Linked DNA regions of Sus scrofa. The protein of the gene in region 2 interacts with the protein of the main gene of each other region in a pairwise test. Links are inferred from orthologs where the notes say so. Each region holds a gene or a part of one and is shown on either strand. Other genes may lie near its edges. The genes, in order: FBLN5 and NUFIP2.

Region 1 (3,820 bases), on a different chromosome or scaffold from region 2:
AATTAGAATATATATATATATATATATATATATATATATATATATATAACTGAATCACTATGCTGTACACCTGAAACTAACACAACATTGTAAATTAACTATACCTCCTGCTGTATAGCACTGGGAACTATATCTAGTCACTTACGATGGCGCGTGATGGAGGATAATGTGAGAAAAAGAATGTATATGTGTGACTGGGTCACTTTGCTATACAGTCGAAAATTGACAGAACATGGAGTTCCCGTCATGGCTCAGAGGTTAACAAACCCTACTAGTAACTATGAGGTTGTGGGTTCGATCCCTGGCCTCGCTCAGTGGGTTAAGGATCCGGCATTGCCGTGAGCTGTGGTGTAGGTCACAGACACAGCTCGGATCTGATGTTGCTGTGGCTGTGGTGTAGGCTGGCAGCTGTAGCTCCAGTTCACCTCTAGCCTGGGAACCTCCATATGCCACAGGTGTGGCCCTAAAAAAAAAAAGACAAAAGGCAAAAAAAAAGAAAGAAAGAAAGAAAGAAAAAGAAAATTGACAGAATGCCATAAACCAGCTACAATGGAAAAAATAAAAATCAGTTAAAATATATATATATTTATATTTTATATATATTTTATATTTTACTTTTCCATTAAAAAAATGGTTAAAAAAAATTGCAGGAGGAACGAGACCTACGATTGCATCTTGGTCTAATTTCTCAGGGCACAGTTGAGGGTCCTGAGGCTCACAGGGGAGAAGCAGCTTTCTCAAGGCCGCCGAGGAAGTGAAAGGAATGAGGATACAGGAATCCTGACTCCTCCCTTCACACCCGCCCCTCCCAGCTGCACTCTGGCCGATTTCTAGAAGCACAGCCGGGCGAGACAACAGAACGCGTTGTGAAAGACGGTGCCCAGCACTCACCCCCTCTTCTTACCCGCATATAGAATTCTCTGCCCTCATTCCCAGACTTGATCTGGAAAATGTAATAGGCCCCAGGGTAGCGGGTCGTCGCCTGCATTTGGAAGATGTCAGCAGGAACAGAGCGGCCCGACACCACATCCATATCCCGGTACAAGATGGTGAAGGGTTGGTCTCTGCAGCCAGGGTTTTCAGCGGGACACATACAGCGGCTGTTGGGAAGGGAAATCACGTGAGAACGCGGTCAATCCTCTCCAGATGCTGGCTGTACCTGCTTCCTCACTTAAAACACTGTACAGGAGGCCACCCCATTGTTATCATCCAGATGCCGTAACTGTAGAGGCTCTGGTCTAAAAACTCCCCAGCATGTGGCTGAGCTCTCCGTTTCCTGGAGAACGGCCTATTCTGGCCAATCAGATATTCTTAACACTGGACTGCAAACCTGAGATGTCTGGTCTCCAGAACACTGGGACACTGGCGTTCCCTTCGTGGCGCAGCAGAAATGAATCCGACTAGGAACCAGAACACGGGGACACTCGCTAATGCACTTTACCTGTGTCGCATATTTTGTTGGCAAAATGTGCTGTGTAGCCCTTCACTTCCCCAGCCATACATACTCATTAAGAAATCCTAAAAGTGAGAAATTACATTACACTGACAGGTCTTAAGTGGGTTTTTTGTTTGTTTGTTTTTGTTTTTGTTTTGTATTTTCTATTGCACTTACCCCAATCTATATGGAATATAATTTCATATTTTCTTTCTCTAAATCAGCACTCAGAGCTCACTCTGTATAACATACAACATCAGGACACGACTTGAAGGTGTTAAGACATCAATTGCAATGATAAAGCGGATCCTGACCTTAACTAGGTCCCTCTCTAATTGGAGAAATACATCATAGACACAAATATCTCTAATACAAAGCATCTCCTTTGAAACACTAGTAATAGCATCGCCATCGTATGAAATGGACTCATTACCAAGGGATGCTTATTTTAGACCCCCCTTGACTCAACCCTAACCACCCCCCATCTCTCACCTCACTTCCAAGACTTCCGCCCCAGGTCAGAGTGGAAAACAGGATAAGAATATCTGCTGATCTACGTCTTAGTGGCCACAACTGAGAGTAAACCTTGCTGTGCTTCCATCTCTCTCCCCTAACTTCCAATCTACCTTCAAAACCTACCAGTTCTACCATTTGCCGCAACATGAACAGACCTAGCGATTATCATACTAAGTGAAGGACGTTAGACAAAGACAAATATCATATGATATCACTTATATATGGAATCTAATTTTAAAATGACACAAGTGAACTTATTTATAAAACAGAAACAGGCCAAGGGGGAGTGGGGAGGGACTGGGATGGAGTTTGGGCTTGGTAGATACAAACTATTACATTTAGAATGGATAAGCGAGGAAGTCCTGCTGTATATAGCACAGGGAACTCTACTCAATATTCTGGAATAACCTATATGGGAAAAGAATCTGAAAAAGAATGGACGTGTGTATCTGTATAACGTTGTACAAACCCAACGTTGTAAAGCAGATATACTCCAATTAAACAAAAAAAATAGCCAAGATGCCCACCCCCCCAAACCAAAACAAAACTATCAGTTCTACTTCTAAAACGCTGTCCAAATCCAAGCACTCCAACTCCACCATCGCCACGCTCCTGTCTCACCTGGACCTCTGTGACGGGCTCCGGTGATGGAGTGGAGGGCTCTCCCACAGCTACCTGGGTCAGAGGGCCCTTTGTCAGACATAAAGCGGATTGCGTCTCTATCCATCCTGCTTGAAGGTTCTACACTGGCCCCTATCTTGAATAAAAACTAAACACCCACTTTAGCCTCTAAAACCTCCTGGGGTCTGGTCTCTGCCTGTTTCTCGAACCTCGTCTCAGACACTGTCCACATGATTCACTAGATGGTAGCCCCTTCCAGTCCCTGCAGACGTCAAGGTCATGGCTGCCTCAGAGTCTTTGCATATGCTGTTCCCTTTGCTCTTCCACCCTCTGTTAAGCTAACATTGGCTCATCTTCCCACTGAAGCCCCAATGTCAGTTCCCCAGAGGGGCTTTCGGACTCCCCAGGCTAGACCAGGTCCAGGCTGCTCTTTCTCTTTGTCCATTTCTGTTCTTCCTATTCATAGCCACCTATCACCATCTATGATCACAGATTCATCCCCATGACAATTCATTTAGCATCTTTCTCCTCCACTAGCATAAGAGCAAACACCACAGTACCTGGCACCACGTCTGGCACGGAATAGGAATTTGACTAACACTTAATAAATGAATGTATCAAAAGAATTTCTTCAGTTTTGTTTTTTAAGGCTCTATTGAAATGGTCAAGTCAAAATGACCCAGGGGACAAGATGGCCACATGAAAGTGTCAGGTGTTAGAGTTCCCACTACAGTGCGGCGGGATTGGCAGCATCTCTGGAGCACTGGGATGCAGGTGCGATCCCCAGCCCGGCCCAGTGGGTTAAGGATCCAGCATTTCAGCTCAGACCAGATCCCTGAACTGAGAACACCATGTGCTGCAGGGCAGTCAAAAAAAAAAAAAAAAAAAAAAAAAAAACCAAAAAAAAAGTTGGGTGTCACACAGAAAATAGCTGTTTCCTAAAAGAAGTCTGGAGGAGGAAGCGATGTCTCCAGCTAAAGAGGATCGCTGCAAAGCCCTGGGAGAGGGGGCATCGGAGCTCAGATCTGAAAGACAAGGCAGGTCTACCCATGTGGCAATGGCAGGAATGCCTTCCACATAGAAAATGTGGGCACGCAAACCAGGAGGCTGGACGTTCTGGGCGTGGGTGAAGGTGAGAGCAGGTCCCGTTCAGGTTGGCGGGAGCACAGGCCACCTGAAGGAGGAAATGAGTTGGATGGGGGTGGCTGGAGTGAGGCTGGAACAGAGCCCGGAGGCAGGGAGTCTCCC
Region 2 (3,820 bases):
GGTGACACGGAAGAGTTCTGTACAGTTTTGTTGAGGTTTTCCTTAACTTTGCTTGCATAACTTATTTTAGGAACTATTTTAGCACTGCTATTGTCCACTGGAAAAACTGGGGGTGGTTTAAATAGGGTCCACGAGTCCTCTTTGGAGGCAACAGCAGAAGTATGCTTTCCTTTGGGCCGATCATCAAACTTTTTGCTGCTCACACCAGGTTTAGTATCAGAGCTTTTCCTCAGCATATCACCCATAGCAGGTTTTCCTCGACTTGTTCCTCCAGGCCCAGTTTCATACTTCCAAATGGGCTTTGAACCATCTACTCGATTTCCCTTTTGTTCACTGTAGTCAGGCTTGAAAGTTTCAAGTCCCTGTTTTAAGGTTGGGACATTGGTCTCTTGTTGCATTATTTTGTCCTGCACTAAATTAAGGTTTTCACAACCCTTGGCACTATTGCGCCTAGCTTTCCTTTTTTTAGGAGTGGTATATCCGCTCTCAGATCCACTACCATCATTATCTGCTCCTTTGCCCATATAACCATTAGTAATATAGCCAGAATTATTTGTTACAACACCATTTGGAATTGCTACAGCATCAGTCTTGTCTACAGATTGGTTCTCTCCAGATTTATTTTCATAAGACTTTCCATTCTTTTTGTCCATACTGTTTTTCTGAATGAAATTCCTGGTTTTAATTCCTGCTTTCCCAAAGGTGCTGGACCTTACAGTCTGCTTCAGGTTAGTGTCTACAACTTGTTGGTTGCCATTGAGTACCCTGGAAATAGGGTTGGTAGCTTCATCAGAACCCAGGCTCTTTAAAGAAATTTCTCTTTCTCCAGCATTACCATTTAGTTCACCATAGCCTAGAGAGGGGGGGAAAAAAAGGTTTTTAAAGAATTATAATATGTAAATTACAATAGTACCTAACATTTAGTATGTGCTAGACACTATGCTTTGAGCTTCAGCTTTATATGTCATTATTTCATAATTCTATGAGAAGACACTTGTCAGCTCCATTTCACAGATGAGGACGTTTACTAATAAGCAAGAGACAAAACACAGGTGGGAATCAAACCCGAGTCCCAGATCAGAAAGAACATGACCGCTTAAGCATAATACCTCTCGCCGAACAGGATCAACCTTCTCATTCTTATAAGGCTGCTATAAAATTTCCTTTACAGGAGTTCCCGTCGTGGCGCAGTGGTTAACGAATCCGACTAGGAACCATGAGGTTGCGGGTTCGGTCCCTGCCCTTGCTCAGTGGGTTAACGATCCGGCGTTGCCGTGAGCTGTGGTGTAGGTTGCAGACGCAGCTCGGATCCGCGTTGCTGTGGCCCTGGCGTAGGCCGGTGGCTACAGCTCCGATTCGACCCCTAGCCTGGGAACCTCCATATGCCGCGGGAGCGGCCCAAGAAATAGCAACAACGACAAAAAGACAAAAAATAAATAAATAAATAAAAAATTAAAAAAAAAAATTTTCCTTTACAATTAAGAGCAAAGTCAGATCATATTGATAAAATCTAAGTACTAGAAGTTTCCATTTCTACCGAACCATAAATGGCTGATGGTTACCATAGGCAGTTCCTATTGCATTCTGTCAAACAAAAATCTAACACTTATGAATTTTTTCAAAAGTGGTCTTAAATTCCTCAACACTTCCCAGACGTTAGATTATACTGTTACTGTATGAAACCAAAACACCTAGGGCACTAACTCTTACAAGATATATTTTCATTTTACATTTGGGTGAACACTCTCACAGAAATTAAGTAACTTGCCCAAGACACAAAGTAGACCTAGAAAGCTGAACTCCAGTCTATCTGGAACATGGTTTCCTATCACCATGTGGTATTTCCTATCACAGTGCTTAACCAAGTAATATAGTAAGGAAATACTAACAAAACTACAATGAAAGTTATCTAATTTTAAAAAGTGTTACGGTATTCAAGTTTAAGAACTTCTATCATCATAAACTGTGATTATTACTATATGTGATTCAACTAGGTAATCTGCCTTTGTCACTTTCATTCATTCTCTTGGGCCTTTAGCTTGTGAAGGCTAAAAGGCACATGAACTTCTAATGTATTCTTGTTTTGAAATTTTGTTGTTTTAATTTCCAATACGGTAAAAATATCAATACACATAAAGCTGTATACTTCAAGAGTACAAGGACACTAAGATTTTTTTAAGATTGAGAACAATTGTTTTTAAAGGAACTTGATGTGAAATAGAACACTCTGAGAACATTCACAAGTGTTTATTCACCATAGTTTTAAGCCATTCTGCATCAGAGAAATGAGCAAATTATATTAACTTTGAGGCAATAACACAACAAAACATACTTAAGGTATAATCATTCCTGAAACAGAGTGGCACAGAACTTGTTCCATGAAGGAATATATTTCATAAAAGTTAACTTCAGTAGAGTTACATTTTATTTTTTTGACTGGCTAAAAAAGCTATGATAGCCAATCATATCAAACATTTTTTTTTGTCTTTTTAGGGCCAAACCCACAGCATATGGGAGTTCCCAGGCTAGGGGTGGAATTGGAGCTGTAGCTGCCAGCCTAAGCCACAGCCATACCAGATCTGAGTTAGTTCGAGGTATTGCCAGATTCTTTTTTTTTTTTTTTTTTTTTTGTCTTTTTGCTATTTCTTGGGCCGCTCCCTCGGCATATGGAGGTTCCCAGGCTAGGGGTTGAATCGGAGCTGGAGTCACCGGCCTACGCCAGAGCCACAGCAACGCGGGGTCCGAGCCGCGTCTGCAACCTACAGCACAGCTCACAGCAACGCCGGATCGTTCACCCACCGAGCAAGGGCAGGGACCGAACCCGCAACCTCATGGTTACTAGTCGGATTCGTTAACCATGCGCCACGATGGGAACTCCTATTGCCAGATTCTTAACCCAATAAGCAAGGCCAGGGATGGAACCCGCCTCTTCATGGATACCAGTTGTGTTCATTACCCCCGAACCATGATGGGCACTCTTTTTTTTTTTTTTTGTTATATCAAACTTTCGGTGAAATAATTTTAACTATGAAACAGAGATCACTGGGATATTTTCTAAAAGGTTCTTTCTTCTTTTTAGATAAGCAGAAATTTCAGAGATACACAACTTTTTTTAAAAATTTTTTTTAGAACTGCACCCATGGCATATGGAAGTTCCCAGGCTAGGAGTCAAATCGGAGTTGCCAGCTTACACCACAGTTCACAGCAAGGCCGGATCCTTAACCCACTGAGCAAGGCCAGGGATCGAACCTGTGTCCTCATGGATACTAGTCAGGTTCTTTTCCGCTGAGCCAGGGACAGGAACTCGAAGATACTCAACATTTTTAACAGATATATATTACTCATGTACAGCTTTAAGCCAAAAAGAACAACTATATATACCTCTTAACATGCTGACAGGCTAAACAAACGTTTGGACCTGTAGGCCAATTTAGTCATAACTTTTCAGGCTTCAACGATAAGCAGTCTTAAACACCAAAATAAAGAACTAATCCAAGGTCCAAACCAAACTGGACCAAAGCCAGGCCTTTTAAATTAACTAGAATAATTTTTCCTATTTGGTGGGAAACCAGAAATTTATAAAACCACCCAGAAGCCACTATATTTTCACCACAAAGTTTTAATTACAAAAAGCATTTCTAATTTAACTATATAAAAATTTTCCATGGCAACCTTGTTGGTAGGCAGAAAGTCTGCCAGAGTCACTTTCTTTTTAAAACTCGGGTATTTTTTAAAATGTAATCACTATAGGATTATTGAGAGAAATTAAAGGGCTCCCTGTGCTTTTATTATTTAGGGTTGCCATGCTAAATCATCTAAC

Evidence for each region.
Region 1: the proteins of NUFIP2 (region 2) and FBLN5 interact in binary tests that used the Homo sapiens proteins (3 or more experiments, as listed by UniProt). The link is inferred for Sus scrofa from reciprocal best matches to the Homo sapiens genes NUFIP2 and FBLN5.

Annotation. Positions count from the first base shown.
Region 1 is NC_010449.5:113,432,369-113,436,188, forward strand, and holds part of FBLN5 (fibulin-5), read right to left. Parts: intron 1,101-3,820; coding exon 905-1,100; intron 1-904. UniProt on the Homo sapiens protein: Essential for elastic fiber formation, is involved in the assembly of continuous elastin (ELN) polymer and promotes the interaction of microfibrils and ELN. Stabilizes and organizes elastic fibers in the skin, lung and vasculature.
Region 2 is NC_010454.4:45,499,923-45,503,742, forward strand, and holds part of NUFIP2 (nuclear fragile X mental retardation-interacting protein 2), read right to left. Parts: intron 854-3,820; coding exon 1-853. UniProt on the Homo sapiens protein: Binds RNA.